Linked DNA regions of Caenorhabditis elegans. The protein of the gene in region 3 purifies or fractionates together with the protein of the main gene of each other region. This does not show direct contact. Each region holds a gene or a part of one and is shown on either strand. Other genes may lie near its edges. The genes, in order: Y59A8B.12, H20J04.9 and M18.3.

Region 1 (5,183 bases), on a different chromosome or scaffold from region 3:
GATAATTTCGAATACCTTCGTGGTATCTCTATCAAAGTTTTTCAAAGCATTGAATCTTTACATAGCTTAAACTATGTATTTTGTGAGAATAGCCAAGTATTATGAACATAGAAAATGTTTCTTGTGTTATCAAGATTATTTTTGTAGTTCAAAGTTTCTTGATAGCTTTTCTGGTTACCGAGTTATATGTTTTCAAAAGCGTTCACATCAACTATTATGCTTGCGGTTGTCCAAAAATTACAATCGCATTGTCTTAAAACTGAAGTTACTCAATCAGTTTTTGATCAAATCAGGTGATTGACATCTTAATCTCTTCCTTAGAGAATTTTGCAACTTTTGGTGAGGTTGAATTTTTGATTATGTCTTGGTGCGTCTCGTAAAATTAGGAAAACCCGCCAAAAATTGTCGTTTTTTAACGATTTTTGGAGTTTTCAGGCCTAATTCTTGTTTTGAAGATGCCGACGTCAATTTTCATCAAAAAACCTTCATCAAAAACAGAAAATAATCAGAAAAAAATTATCTACAAAATGGTGGCCTTCAATTTTCAAATTTCTCTTTTCAAGGATCACTAGAGGTCCCGAAAAAATCCATTTTTTGAGGTAGCCTTTTGTTTTTCCGTCTGCCGGCGTCGTGAACATCACTAACCTAGATATTTGCATAAAAATAGATACACTTAGTCTTAATTGACAATATATTAATAAAAAACTTAAAGATTTATCAGCGAATCGCCGGCTTTAATCAGTTTTGTCTGGAAAATCACTAATTTTGAACTTTCACATGTGGGCGTATTCATAGGTGATTTACAATTTTGCCCTTTTTCATATAATTTCTATGTGTTTGATCAGGCAGTTAGTAAATTTTTATTAGATTTTGTTCACTATCAGCCGTTTCCGGCCTATTTTACCGTTTTCAGTACAAATTCGGCTCAAAAAGCTCACTCTCTCGCCCATGAGAGACACAGAGAAAGTTCATCACGTCAATTTGATTTATTTTTTGAAATGAAGAGAGGCCGTGTTGGAGCTGAAAAAAAAGTTTTAGGTTTGAATTCGAGAAAGTGTATTTTTTCTTAGTTAAATTCACTGAAAATCCGTCAAATTCTCATAATTTCAGTCCACTCAATTTATCAGTAGATGTGGCAATTTAAACCGTAAAATTCTTACATTTTCAACGAATTCATTTTTTCTTCCAAATTATCGGTCATTTTTCTGGCGAAAATGTTCTTACCAAGGGAAATTGCCAGAAAATTGAAAAGAATAAGAGAAAAATCATACGAAAAGAAACATTTTGTTATAACACTCTATTTTTCAGCAGAAATTAGCAAAAAAATCGCACTTTAAACGTTAATCTCTACTTTTAAGTGAAAAACAACCAAGAAAATCTAAAAATGAGCCAGAAGCTCGTCAATTAGAATGCCGAGTACGCAAACACTTGATATTGCGTACTTCGCCGACTACAGTACTCCAACAGAATTTATTTCGAAATATTTGATTTCCTTTACGGAAAACTTGAGAAAATAATCATAAAATTGGTTAAAATTCAATATTTCACTGATAATCGACAGAATAAGAAATTAATTCAAAGTATACACATAGTTACAATTAAAAATATATCACAAATTGCATAAATTCAAGTGGAAATTCAGAAATCAATATAAGCAGTAATCTTGATGGCTCCATTGTCAGCAGGTTGGTCAATTCGCATTCCGAATGTATGATTCCGTGAAGAAACTGTCACATCAAAGTTTTCTCCGACTTTTACTTGTCCATATTGAGCTTCCAGCAGGAATTTGCATGGGATTTCGTATTGTAGCCGAGAACGAGTGACCAGCTGTGTGTAAAGTTGGCCTCCGTCGCTGTGAAGAATGAGATCCCTGGAAAAATTAAGGTTTTCAGGGAGTTTTCTGGCATAAAAAGTACCATTCGATGCCTCGCATCTCTTCCCATTCCGATAAATCTTCATTTCTGTTGTGAAAATCGGCGGCAAATCGAGTTCGGTTGATGATGTAGCCGTTTCGGTCCTCCTCGTTCCCATTATCGGCCATTTTTGCTGAAAAATTCAAATTTTTACTCGAGTTTTGGGAGAAAAGGTGAAAAAACCTCAAAAATGTTGGTTTTCAGGGGGGGAAAAGTGGCAAATTGCACAGTTTTTACTAGAATTTAGCGTAGATTTTCAAATTAAAAGCAAAAAACTATGGAAAAAGCAAAAAATTCGCTGAAAAACGGACAAAAAAGACTTTTTTTTCAAAATGCGCCGCCGAATTCGAAAAAATGATGATTTGTGCATTTTTGCGTCGCGGTGTACTGCGTACTTTTGAAAAAACTGCGGGAAATTTGAATTTGAATTTAATTTGCAGGAATATCTGCTTGACTTTAGCGTGTTTTATTGAATAATTCATCTAATTTTGAAGATTATTGTAAAATATGAATAAAAACGACAAATTTTATATATTTTCTGTGTTTTCCTATTGTGCATTTTCAGAGATTATTCGCTGGAAACTTGGAAATTGACTTTATTGGGCAAAAAATGTTTATTAATCGACATTAATACTGAAATGATACGTAAAAATTGAAATTCTCAAGATTTCTTCGTCATTTGTTCGTTAAAATCCACTTTCTTGACGATTTTCTTTAATTTTCGGGCTTCTAAAGTGATTTTCAATTATTTTTCAAATTCCCACACATTTTCTAATGTTCAAAGTGTATTTTTTTTTCTTGGTAGCTTGAAACCTCTGAAAACCTCTGAAATCCACCGAAATTTTTCTTCCAATTCGAATTTCGCGCGCATTTCACCGTTTCGAGTCCAATGGAGCGCACTTGCATTATTTTCGAGACATTGAATTTTTCGCCTATTTTCCTCGGTTTTTCGTCATTTTTTCTGGATTTTTCTCATTTTTCCAATGTTTTTTCGAGTTTTTTGATGAAAAAATCGATTTTCTTGATTTTCAGACCACCGGAAATGTCGAAAAGTGAGCATTTCGTCAGTAAAGTGAGTCGGAACCTGGGAATTTCCGTAAATAATCCAGAAATTCAGGAAAACTGGCAACATCTCATCATGAAGCCGGGACCATCGAATTTGGCACTTCCGACGACTCAAAAATTCCGACAAACTTCGAATGGAAGGACAATGAAGCAGACTTGGACCTGCGGGTGAGAAATTTCTGGAAAAAATCGAATTTTTTTCAATTTTTTCAGAGTTTGCCGGAAGGAATTATCGTCAAAACGGAGTTATACAGAGCATATGAATATTCACAACAAATCACGGCCATTTCAATGTGAACATTGCGTTTATGCTGCAGGTTTTGGCGGAAATTCGCGAAAAAACTGCCTAAAAATTGATTTTTCAGCCTCCCAAATGACTCTACACCGTCATAAACTCCGAAATCACACTCCAAAAGCTGAATGGGGATATCGGTGTCCCTATTGTGATGATGCGTACATGGAACCTGCTGGATATCAGCAGCATGTCCAGTAAGTGGACGGAAACCTGGAAAAATCGATGAAAAATGGCTCAAAGCTCATGGGAAATTGAAAAATTCGGCCAATTTTCACCCAAAAAATTCGAGAAAGCACTGATTTTACACGTAAAACCCAGGAGTTTCATCAATTTTCCCTTTTTTTTTCGCGGAAAAGCCGAGATTCGGTGAAAAAATGGCTGAAAAGTCGATAAAATCTGCAATTTTTCCCGTTTCCGACGGGAAATTCAGCTTAAAATGGCAAAATTCATATTATTTTTTTTCTATTTTTGGCGGGAAACTGAAGAAAATTCGAAATTTTAGGTGAAAAAAATGAAAAAACCGCAAAAATTTCCAGATTTTTCGGTGAAAAATGGCGTAAATCAACGAAAAACTGATTTTTTTCAGCTAAAAATCGCTTTTTAGTGAGAAATTAATGAAAAAAATGGCTGAAAAGCCGAAAAATTTTGAAGGTTTTAGAATGAAATTCAGCAAAAATTATGAAAATTGTCGAAAAATTTCCACATTTTCCAACATTTTCAGCGTTTTCGACGGGAAAACTCTCTAAAAGCGTGGTTTTTCATTGAAAAAACGCTGAAAATGTTGGAAAATGTGGAAATTTTTCGACAATTTTCATAATTTTTGCTGAATTTCATTCTAAAACCTTCAAAATTTTGGCTTTTCAGCCATTTTTTTCATTAATTTCTCACTAAAAAGCGATTTTTAGCTGAAAAAAATCAGTTTTTCGTTGATTTACGCCATTTTTCACCGAAAAATCTGGAAATTTTTGCGGTTTTTTCATTTTTTCACCTAAAATTTCGAATTTTCTTCAGTTTCCCGCCAAAAATAGAAAAAAAAATACTATGAATTTTGCCATTTTAAGCTGAATTTCCCGTCGGAAACGGGAAAAATTGCAAATTTTATCGACTTTTCAGTCATTTTTTCACCGAATCTCGACTTTTCCGCGAAAAAAAGGGAAAATTGATGAAATTCCTGGGTTTTACGTGTAAAATCAGTGCTTTCTCGAATTTTTAGGTGAAAATTGGCCTGAAAAGTCAGTTTTCTGGCCGAATTTTTCAATTTCCAATTTTTTGCACAGAAAACGGCGGAATTTCGGGTATTTCGTGAATTTTTCGCCGATTTTTTTCCGATTTTTTTCCGATTTTCAGCAAAAAAATACAGTTTTCCGCTGATTTTTGCGATTTTTTCACGATTTTTTATAAATTTTTCTATTTTCAGACAACGTCATCCGGGACTTTCAGCAACATATGGATGCCCATTTCGAATTTGTAAATTTACTTCGAAATCTCAACGACATTTCCGCGAACATCTTGTTAAACACGATAGGTTCGCGTAAAAATTCGATTTTTTCCACCCAAAAATCGAAAAAATCGAGTTTTCCGTCGATTTTCCCAGCGAAAACACGCGAAATTTGAAGAAAACCCGGGTTTTACAGCGGAAAATCGAAAAATTCCAGAAATTTTCGATTAAAATACTGAAAATTTGATGAAAAATGCCTGAAATTCGTACAAAAACCCCATTTTTCTTAAAAATGTGAAGTTTTAATTAGAAAAATGGTAAAAATTAATCATTTTTGCACTAAAAATCGGCTGATTTCCAGATATTTTCCACTTTTTCTGATGAAAATTTGACTTAAAAATTAAAAAAAAAACCCAATTTTTCGCGAAAAAATGTACTAAAATTTGAGAAATTCACATTTTCAAGCTAAAAA
Region 2 (5,767 bases), on a different chromosome or scaffold from region 3:
ATACTGTAGTTTTTGGAAAAACATGTTGTCTTCTGAAGGGATATTGAGTTGGGATACTGTAGTAGTACTGTAGAGGTCCAGTAGAGGTCCTGTAGGAGTACTGTAAGAATACTATAGAGTACGGTAGGGGTACTGTAGGAGTACAGTAGTAGTACTATAGTTGTGTACTGTAGGAATATAATTTAACATCTTTCAGATTATAATAATTCCATACGACATCCTTATGAAGACAAAATATTTCGAACAAGATTCTGAGGAAGGCGATGCTCGTTTCCATTTCGCATCAACATTTCAAATTTTCAATCATTTCCCGGAAATATCCATGCCATTACTGAATCTGTACTTTAGTGGAATATTCAGAAATAAAATTGCACCGGGACCTGAGCATGGGAAATCTAGTGTTGAAACTGGCGCGAAAATTTGAATTTTTTTAAACTTTTTTCCAATTTTTCACACTAATAAAGAATGTTACTCTTCCAAACAAATTTTCAAAAGTACCTATTTTTATAGCGAAAAATAACAACAAAAAATCATTAAAAACCTATTTTAAAAAAACATTTTTAACCGAAAAAATTAAAGATCTTCAAAATTCTTTTTATCATTCATCATCGCTTCGGCCAGTCGTTCTTTCTTCATATCCATCGCCAATTTTTTCATTAATTCTTCAGGATCTTGTCCAGCTAGAGGATCAGTAGATTTTGTAGCCGAGATGATTTGATATTCACCAATTTGGGGGTCCTTATGGTAGTTGATCTGGAATTTAGTGTTGCTTTTTGAAATCGTGATGCAAGCGCGCTCCATGGCCAAATGGAAATGCTCCGCCCCCGAATGATGGGTCTCGTTAGGTATTTGGCGGCCGAACCGCGAATTACTGTAGTAGTACTGTAGGAGTACAGTAATAGTACTATAGGGGTACAGTAGGATGTAGGGGTACTGTAGTAGTAATATAGGGGTACTGTAGCAGTACTATGGAAGTAGAGTAGGGGTACTGTAGGGGTACTGTAGGAATACTGTAGTAGTACTATATGAGTATTGTAGGAGTACTGTAGGGGCACTGTAGGAATACTGTATTCGTACTATAGGGGTGCTGTAGAAGTACTGTAGGGATACTGTAGGAATACTGTAGGGGTACTACGGGGGTACTGTGGTAGTACTATTGGAGTACCGTAGGGGTACTGTAGTAGTACTATTGGAGTACTATAGTAGTACTGTTGTAGTACTGTAAGGACACTGTAGGAATACTGTAGTTTTGAAGTTTTTTTTAATTTTCGAATTTACGGTTTTGGAGTCAAATACCTAACGAGACCCATGGTTTGGGGGCGGAGAGTTTTCAATTTGCAGTGGAGCGCGCTTGCTCCTCAATATAATAAGCACTTTAACATCACTAAATTCCGCCGTTTCCAGTGCCCACAGATATCTCATTGGATCCCACTGATTCTCCTCAAGTATTCGATTTTCCGTCAATTTCTTCAACCGATCGAATTGCATTCCACAAATCAATGTTCCACCGGGTTTCAGAACTCTCAGCAGTTCCCGATTAATGTTTACCAGTGCATTTTGTTGTAGAAAATAGAAGAGATCCACGTGGAATACATGATTGAATAGATCAGTGGGATACGGTAGATTCCGTAGATCAACTGCCGAATCGATGCGGATTTTATCGGTTTCGGCGATTTCCAGAACGAATCGTTTGATGGCTCGTTCGTTCATATAGCCGGATCTTTCAACACCGAATACCTGGAAATTTTAGGTGTTAGAGAGAAAAAGAGAATGTGAAAATGATCAGATTTGCTACGTGGCCGTGAGGCGAGAAAACTCGGCCACGGCCGAGAAAAGAGGTTGTTTTGGGACACCTAGAAGGTGTAAAAATTTGTTTAAAACATACGATTAAAATTGGTGGCCGAGTTGTTTTCTAGGCCACACGTGGCAAAATGCACACCGCGAAAGTGAAGACATGGTGCATCTGACTGGGTTTTTTTTTAATACATTAGCCGGCATCGAGCTTCATGGCCGCGAAAAAGAGAAAACTCGGCCACTATCGGGTGGCAAAGTTTCAGATTAGTCTGTGGGAAAAAAATTAAATAAATCGGTGGCCGAGTTTTTGCTTTTTCTAGGCCACGATTTACAGATTTTTACAATTTTCAGGCATTTCAGGCAGGCCTGCCTACACCCTCTCCACCTACCATTCCCCGGCCGTCTTTAACCCGATCAAAGCACATTTTCATAGCATCTCCTCGTCCAAATCCAATTTCAAATAGAAAATCATCTTTCCCAATATCCATTTTCTCAACGACTTTCTCATTGAGCCGCCTGGATTTCGATGCACCATACTTGCTCACAATCATTCCAGTCATTGATTTAACCGGTAGAGCGTATTGATTTGCGAGATCACTTGTCGCCAGCTTAAATGAGTTGGCGAACAGTTTTGTTAACTTTTGGGAAGCCATTTTTTTGGAGCTGGAAATTTATTGATTTGAAAAATATTATTAAGCCGCGCCCCTTTAATGGCAAGTTTATATGTTCCATTTTGAACTTCTAAATTTAAAAAGAAACCCTAAAAAAAAATTTTTTTTTTCGATTTTTTTAATTCTAAAATTCAATATATAGTGCTAATTCTACACTGAAAACTGCTCCTAAACCGAAAATTCAAACTAAAATTTCAAATTTACGAGTTCATTTTCAATGACTTTCATCAGTAGTTGACACAAAATAGCACAATTAAAATAACGTTTTGAAAAGTCACAGGGGGACCTCAAGAACAACAAATATGACGTGTCAAAATTAATTTTTTTTGACTGAGATTTTTGTAACGGGGGAGCGGTTGAGTTAAGACCGACAGAGAAAGAAAATGTGAACGAAAAAATTGTAAAAAAAAATTAACAGAAAATGAGTACATTTCTAGGAAATAGTAAAGGAGAGAGAGCTAGAGAAAAAGAGCGAAAAAAAACAATTGAGATACGATTTTGTGTAGTCTGTGTGGATTTACGATATGGATATTTTGAATTTTTTTTAAGTATGAAAATTGATAGGTGAGGGGGGTAAAAGTAGAAATTCAAGAAAAAAAAGTAACAGAAAAATGAAATGAATATGTTTATTGATCGATGATCTCATCGAGACGATCCGCCATAAAATCGTGAAGTTCTCGAGAAAGCTTGTAGATTTCATTTTCCGGCTCATTGTACGTCTCGCAATTTGATAGGATTAGTTGGAAGTCGTTGCGAACCTGGAATTTTGGCGGTTTTTTTTCAAAAAAAATTCAACAAAAAAAAATTAATGCTTTGTTTTTTTAATTAAAAAATTTTAATTATATCAAAAATGCTAATTTTTAAATATAAATTTTTTTGCAGAAAGCAATTTTTTTTGGATATTTTTTTTCAAATATATTGTCAAATTTCAAAACTATCAACCTCAATAGGTTTATTATAAATCCTCTGCTTAATCTTATTCATCATAGTTCTCAAATTCATAGGCCGTTTGATGACGTCATAGTAATCTGGAACTTCTTTCGAATCAACTGGTTGAAGGAATGGCCATGAACATTCTTGACGCATTGCTTCTTTCAATAATGTCTCAATTAATGTCATTTTCTCTTTAATATTTGGTATTATGACACGGGAAATATCATTTGTAGTCGGTGTTGATGTGACTGATTTCTTGGATGTTGGTGTCTTTCGCTTTCGCGTATTTTCACCGTCAGAATCATCTTCATCAGTTAAAACATTCTCGTTTTCAACGTCAAATCTGGAAAAAAAATCTTATTAATTGAAAAAATTCGAATTTTAAAATATCCTTTTAAAGTTGAAAATAATTTTTTTTCCAACTTTTAAGAAATTTCAAAAAAATTGATGTACACCTGAATTTTGGCGGTTAAAAAAAACCAAACAAAATTTCTTATCTTTTTCTCAATTTTTCCAACAAAAAAAAATGAATTTTTAACTATTTAAAAAATAATATTTTTAATTTTTTGAATATTAATGTTTTACTTTTTTTGAAAAAAAAAGTTAAATTTTTTTTAAAACTACAAAAAAACCACTAATTTTTACAAATGTTTAGAATTTTCAGGAATTTTCAAAATATGTATAATTATTTTTAGGATATTTATAAAATTAATTTTTAAATTTTAATGTTTTTAAACAAAACTTTCACTCCAAATTTTGAGGAAAAAGTTTTTTTTTCAGAAAACTCGAATTTCTTAAAAAATATATAGTTTCTAAACAAATTTTGAACGGATTTTTCAGAAAAAAAATGCTGGTTTTTTTGGAAAATTAAGTCCAAAATTGTAGCAATTTTTAATAACAAATCTTATAATTTTTTCTACAATTTTTGAAAAAAAATTGAGCTTTTTAAAATTTTTCTGACAAAAAAAGTTGTATTTCTTTTTAAAAAAAATTTTTTTTGAACAAATTTTAAATGGATTTTCAGTAGAAAATGCTACTTTTTCCATTGAATTTTCAAAATTTAATTTTTTTAATTAAAAAAATTTATTTCAGTTATTTCAGTGTTTTGAACGGTTTTTAACCAATTTTTCAGATTTAAAATTCAATTTTTCCAAAAAAAAGGAAATTTTTTCTTTAATTTTTTTTTTAACAAACAATATGAAACTTCTGAAAAAAAAAATCATAAAAGGCATTTTGAACGATTTTTTCAGCAGAAAATTTAAGTTTTCCGTCAAAAAAAAAAATTCCAAACTCTCACATTCTAACAGAAACATTTCTAACAGGTCTCTCCGAAGGTGTGACTGGCATGGATCCATTGGATTTCCGATTTTTCAAGCTTAATCCTTCATGAATATCAGAATAATGAACTCGTTTTACAGCCCGACCACTTGCAGTTCGAATAGTTGGCGGCTCTTTAGAAGTTGTCGGGGTGCTACAGCTCTCAGCTGGCTCAGCAGTTTTTGGAGCAATTTCAGAGAAATTATCGCTAATCGATATATTTCCAATTGCAACATCTTCTTGTGATGAAGATTCAGCCAATTGATCATCATCCCGAGCCATTCGTTTTGCTTCATTCTCAACTTTTCTCTGTTGAGCTCTACAACTGGTGCACATCCAATCAGCTGGAGCATCTGAGTTAACATCCAGCTTTGCACATTTCAAATGATAACAATTATCACATTCAGAGCACAATACAAGATCATGAGCAGCGGCTTTTCGTCGGCATGAACGACATTTTCCTTGGAGACGAGATTTATCCCATTTGATAGATCCTTCGAATGTTGAGATGAATAGAGAAAGAGCTGAATGGGATTCACATTCGAGAAGTGCTCTTTGCCAACGTATGAATAGTTCGGAGGGCTTCAAGTTTCCGTCTGAAAATGACGGAAAATTATTTGAAAATTAGGAAAAACATAAATTATTTAGAAAATTTCGGAAGAATGTCACATTTGAGTTATTTTTTTTTGTTTTGTTTTGGGAATCGAAAAATACCGATTTTTTCCAGAGAATTTCGACATGTCCGATTTTTAGTTTTTTTTTAAATTTTTTTTAGGGAAAAAAATTAGGAAACATCTGAAAATGGGGTAAAATTAAAAAAAAAAAGTAAAACTTATCAAAAAATCTCGAAAAGTGTTCAATTTATTGTTTTTTTAATTCACTTTTCAGAAAAAAATGAACATATTTTTGATAAATGTATAGTATTTTTCGTACATTTTTTCCAAATTTTCAGATTTATCGTTTTTTTTGCGGAGTTTCTGTCTGGAAAAATGGGATTTTTTTTCGTTGAAAATTGAAAAAAAAAACTATATTTTTTCAGGTAAAATTAGGAA
Region 3 (5,767 bases):
CATCAGTTTTCAATAAATGCGGAGATTTATCACTTCCTTTGATAGAATTATCACCAGCGTTGCTCATTTTTGCCATTCTCGATCCAAATTGCATTGCCTGTTTCGGAGCATCATATGGGGATCCCAACATTTTCACTGTCTCTCGGAGCAATTGTTTCTCTCCAACTCCACGTGGCAATGATAGATCCCATTTGGAATCGACTGGAAGTGCGTTGAGCCAAGTGACTACGGTATCTTCGAGAAGTGGAGATCTGAAATATAACAAAAATCATATTATTTTTTTTATTAGGAGATTTTGAAAACTTACAAAATGGTCTTCCCAAGTTGAGCAGCAACTCTAGCATCTCTTCCTCCATTTCTCGATCCCAGCCTTCGCAATTCATTTTCACATTCTTCCGCTACATTTTCTGGAATTTGTTCCTTCTCAAATCGAGTTCGATGCCTTGCGTATCCGGCAAGAAGTTCATCTGCTCCTGATCCCAGAAGGCATGTAGTTGCAGGTGACCTCACTGATTGTTGATTCTCACTATCAACTCCTTCGGCTCTGACAGCAAACCACAGAACACAAGACAGTGAGTCATCAAGTACTGAACTCGCTGGTTGAGCTGCATCTGAGATAGATTCTTTGCGATTCACTTCGAGGGTTTGGCTATCAACGTTGACAAGAATGAGGCGAAATTGGCGAGTTGGGTATGCAGTTCGAAATGATTCCAGCGCCTTTCTGGCACGTTTACGATCAGGTGCTTGTTCACATTCCTATAAAATATAGATTTATTATTCGATATTAAATTAAAATAAAAACTCACTTTCTCACTATTACCAAATGCCACATTAATTAGATCAATTTGCATATTCTCTGGAACACTTGAATGTACAACATGAGCAACAAATGTAGAATCGACACCTCCAGACAAGCATACTGCCACGTGGCTTTCATGATCTAAAGTTAGATGTTATAAAAGCGATTTCATTAGAAAAAACAAACAATTTTTCAATAGAATCTTAGTCGCATCGATAACTTTTTGAAAGAGATCTTTGGTATTAAATGAGTCAATTTCTCCTCCAGTTGATCTACTAACATTCAATAATCCATGTTTCTTGTTGACCACAATTCGAGAGATATCCGACCCAGAAAAGTAGCCATCCAATACATTCTGTAATGATATAGCATTTATTGTCAGAAATAAGTAATAAATGCCTAAGCATCAAATATAGTAAAACTTTTAAAAATATGGAATTGTTTTTTCAACTAATTAATTATATTTTTATTTGTATTAGGTAGAATATCGTCCGTGGGGATTTTGTATAAATATCAATGTTTTGGTAATTTGTATTAAATTTGGACGTTTTGAAGAATTTCGAGCATTGTGGCAGGTTTGAACTCCTATTACGGGAACACAAAATTCTGAGAATGTGTATTTATTGCGAAAAAATTTTGACGCGCAAAATATCTCGAAGCGAAAACTACATCAATTATTTAAATGACTACTGTAGAGCTTGTGGTGATTTACGGGCTTGAAATTCGATATGATTTTTTTTTCGAATATCGACAGTGATTTTCAATTTTCGAAAAATTTTCCTTCGTTTCTTCGTAGGATTTTCTAATTTTTTGCTGAATTTTGATATTCAATCGATAAATAAAGTATTTTTGTCATTTCGAAAATCGAGCCCCGTAAATCGACACAAGCTCTACAGTAGTCATTTAAATAATTACTGTAGTTTTCGCAACAAAATATTTTGCGCGTCAAATATGTTGCGCAATATGCATTCTCAGGTTTTTCATAATAGAATGTTTGAAAAAAAAACCATACTATGATTAGAATTCAAAAATCGTAGAAAACCACTTTTTTACCGACACATCCGAAATTATAATGAAGAAAACGAGAATTCACCAATTCTTGCTTGAAATTTGAATTTTTTAAAAAGTTTCTATTCGGACATTTCAACACTTTACGAATTCTGAAAATTTTCCGAATTTCAGCAGTTCATCGGAAAATTTTCGGTTTTTTAAAAAAGAATATTCAGGCAAATTCTCCACTGGCGGTACTTCATATAAAATTGCACAAACCTCTGGATACTCGTCAAGATATGAATAAATAACTGGATCAGTTGAATCAAGACTAAAAACAGTCACTTGTCCGAATGGAATTTCAATCCATTTCCCAGATGTTTCTGGCTTTGTTCTACATCCAAAAATCATCGATTCGAAATTAAAAACCAAAGATTGTCTTCCAAAAACATCTCTTCCAATGAAAAGTTTTTTCAATTTCTGATTATAATAAATAATGCTCCAGGATCCTTGTTGCTCCAGAATTTCATTAACAATACTATTAACTGATCCATTTGAGAGTTTTGAAACATGAAGTTGTGAGGTGGTTCCAGAATAAACAAGATAATCTTCTTCAATCATTTTGATATATCCTTTTAATTCCTCGCCCAATGTTTCATCCTTTAAATGCCACCATCGATTGTAATCAATGCCCATTCTGAATTTCAGTTCTTTTTCCAAATTTCATAATAACTGGCAATAAGAAATCTCAGAATATTGACAGAAAAAAAAAATAGTTTCAAAGTCATTGCATTTAAAATTGGATAGTTTTATTACTACAAAGAATGAAAAAGACACTATCTCACAACATAATAGTCCGGGATATCGATTGAAGTAAATCATCATCAAAAAAAAGAAGCGGGAAGTGTTTTTGCGTTGAATCACAGAAAAAAATGAACTCGTTATTCTGAGGGTACTAGTACTCGAAACTATACAAGATTTTGAAGCAAAAAAAAAGAATATGAATAAAAATAGGATAAAGGCAACTGTGTGTCGATCGATAGTCGATAATTTAATAACCCATATGCTAAATGAAGACAGAGTGAAACTGGAACCAATAAATAAAATAAATATGGCTACTGGAGGGTGACGTGGCTATTCCACGGTGGCTTGTGGAATATTTTGAAGAAGGAAGAGTGTTTGATATGATTTGATTGTCTTGATCAGTTGATGTTCCAGTTGAGGATCAGCATGGCAGCAAGGCATCACATCAACAACCGATGGAAATAGTGAAACTAAGTGCGAGTAGAGTTCAGTCATTTTTGGATCTCTTGCAAGTCGTGCAATTAGTGAGTCAACAGCTTGAAGTGCAGATATGATTTCTAGTATTCTGGATCTAGGTAAACGAAGATCTCCAGCAGCAGACCAATCTTTGCAGAAATCAGACATAACCTAAAATCAGAGTAGTTTGTGTCTTTATCGGACCTATTTTTGATCCTACCTGTGTGCATCTTTGTAAAAGACTTGTCACAGCAACATTTCCAAGAATTCCTCTTCCTTCGTCTTCTTCAGTATTTGTATGTGCTCCATCAGATGACATCAATAGAGCATCAAAACAGGCCTTTGCCAGCTCATTTCGTTGAGTATGCGAGTCTGAAGCTGAATTCGAGGGTTGTTACCGAGTACACCGAAAACATGCAATCAGAATGGAGAAATGTGGAAAGGAATACCAACACCAACTAGTTTTGTGAGAAGTGTTAGAAGTAAAAAGAAGACGATTTCTCTCGAGCACTTACCAAGAACATCTGTAGAATCGATTTGTGAAATGGAGCCACGATGAAGTAGTGCAATCAGCCGTTGAACATCTTCTTGTGGTAAACGGGATGCATATGCGAGCATTTCACTTCGAATTATTTCAATTGCCTGACATTCCATTAGTTCATCACGTTTTCTTTCGTCTGCTGCCAGTCTCGTTGACTTGCTAGAACCGCAGCGAAAAATCAAAGATTAGAATTTTAAATTAATTGCATTTCTATTTAAGCTATATAAAGAGTGAAAAATTTAAAAATTTCCATAACGAAAATTACATATTTTCAATAAAAATATATAGTTTTCTTTTTTTCGTACATTTTTCAACACAAGTGTTTTTTTTTCAAATTTCTAACAATCGATGTTTTGAATTTCTCTGAAAAAAATTCGAAAAACCGAAAAAATTGAAGAATATTTTCGATTGAAACTATTGATCCATATTCAACATTTAGCAATTTCGCCCAAAAACTACGGTACCTGGTCTTGACACGACCAGTTTTTGCAAATACAAGAGACTATTCGTCTTAAAGGATTACTGTAGCTCACGATTTAAAAAAAATTCTATTCAAGTGAAACATAAATTTTAAAGGCAAACAACGCCGGGTTTGGAACGAAATACAGCTGTAGAAAAAATATAGAAATACTTCTAAAATTATTTTTTTTTAAACTAAAAATGCTGGTTTTTCGAGTCTCAAACAGCAAAAAAAATATTGCGAGCTTTTGCGATTTTTCCCTCAAAAATACAGTATGTGTACCTTTGAAAAATCAATTTTTTTTTGTTTTTTTTTGAATTGTAGTCATTCTCAATTTTTTTAAAATTTGAATTAGTTTGTAAATTTTGATGTTTTGATTTTTTTTTTCGAAATATGAGACTTGGAAAATGTATCTAAATGTTCTTAATTTATCTGAAAGTCATCGAAAAAGCTTTAATCTAAAATTAGTATGTATATTTTTGAAACAGAATTTTTTCGATAGTTCAGAAAATCAAGCATTTGAAAGAAAAGTTATTTAAATGTTTCTTTCGAATTAATACTGAAGAAGCCTTCTATTACACCTATACTAATTTTCCCCATGAGACTTTTTTTGTTGAAAATTTCCAAAATCAAATCTAAAATAACTTACTTTGGAGTAAAAAGCCATCTTTCCATAGTATCACAAATTGCAGACCATAAACCTCGAAAAACTTCTGGATTCTGACGAGCATATGGAATGGATGTTCTCAAGACAGACATCAGAGAAGTTGCAGCAAGTTTCCAAGTACTTGCAGAGATACAAGTGTACTTCATGTAAAGTGGTTCTCCGAGGAATTTTATGATATCAATAGCAATGAGCGAGTTGGCAACTTCTGGATTCTGTGATGTTGAAGTAAAGAATTCGATTGCAATTCGGAGAGAATATTCGGAAAATGGAACAATTGTAGTCAGGGCGTAGTCTCTCTGAAAATTTAAATTATTTATTCAAATTAAATAATTCTTTGCTTTGTTATACCCAACATGGTCTCAGAAGGGCGAATTTAAAAATAATATTTCTCAAAATTTCGAAAAAAGCCAAATTCTGCTAAAATCTTATTTTTCAAAGAAATTTATATTTTTCTTATTTTTTTTCTTTCGCATAACCGTAATACGATAAAAATTGAATGTTTTTGGTACCAACTGTGGTTACTTAATAAAGATTTTTTTTTCGATTTTTCGATTTTCCCAGCGAAAAAACAAAAATATTCCGTCTATCGATTTGTCTAAAATTGAAATTTTTTGACAAGCATGTAAATTAACGCGAGATCAACTAATAAAATATGTACGATTTTTGCGAAATTTCGTTTTTTTTTTGAAATTTTGACCTGTCATAATTGTTTTTGATCAGCACCTTTTTCGAAATTCGTGCACATTTTGAGTCCATACGAGCAATATTCCTTCAATAAAAAACACTTACATAGCTCTTCTGTCCACCAGGCGCAACTTTATTCGGAGAAATTCGTTGTGTTGCCATACTTGCAAATTTCAGCAAAAGTCGTATTTGATCCGGAATAGCGGCTCGCAGAGATGTTCCTGATAGTGTACATTCAACAAATACAATTTTAACAGCTTCCAAAAGAGCTTCCTGTGTCGGTGTCAGATGTGTAGTAGCTGATGGAAGTACAAATGGTGCTTGTTCTGATGGAATGGGTACATTCATCATACTTTCCAGTACTGC

What was found.
Region 1: the proteins of M18.3 (region 3) and Y59A8B.12 fractionate together in Caenorhabditis elegans (co-fractionation; one large-scale study listed by BioGRID). This does not show direct contact.
Region 2: the proteins of M18.3 (region 3) and H20J04.9 fractionate together in Caenorhabditis elegans (co-fractionation; one large-scale study listed by BioGRID). This does not show direct contact.

Annotation. Positions count from the first base shown.
Region 1 is NC_003283.11:18,084,178-18,089,360, forward strand, and holds Y59A8B.12 (MATH domain-containing protein), read right to left. Parts: upstream 2,048-5,183; 5' UTR 2,042-2,047; coding exon 1,917-2,041; intron 1,871-1,916; coding exon 1,639-1,870; 3' UTR 1,532-1,638; downstream 1-1,531. Other genes in the region: fbxa-106 (F-box domain-containing protein), read right to left, coding at 905-950; slr-2 (Synthetic with Lin-35/Rb), read left to right, coding at 2,956-2,985, 3,031-3,146, 3,192-3,295, 3,344-3,467, 4,691-4,798.
Region 2 is NC_003280.10:4,347,878-4,353,644, reverse strand, and holds H20J04.9 (Methyltransferase domain-containing protein), read right to left. Parts: upstream 2,458-5,767; 5' UTR 2,448-2,457; coding exon 2,184-2,447; intron 1,738-2,183; coding exon 1,375-1,737; intron 754-1,374; coding exon 574-753; 3' UTR 487-573; downstream 1-486. Other genes in the region: H20J04.7 (Serpentine Receptor, class Z), read left to right, coding at 197-424; athp-2 (Bromodomain adjacent to zinc finger domain protein 1A), read right to left, coding at 3,092-3,223, 3,408-3,741, 4,696-5,311.
Region 3 is NC_003282.8:12,102,577-12,108,343, reverse strand, and holds the start of M18.3 (Asparagine synthetase domain-containing protein), read right to left. Parts: upstream 2,487-5,767; 5' UTR 2,486-2,486; coding exon 2,069-2,485; intron 1,155-2,068; coding exon 986-1,154; intron 941-985; coding exon 807-940; intron 757-806; coding exon 308-756; intron 252-307; coding exon 1-251. Other genes in the region: mon-2 (Monensin-resistant homolog 2), read right to left, coding at 2,924-3,220, 3,270-3,427, 3,565-3,749, 4,700-5,013, 5,507-5,767.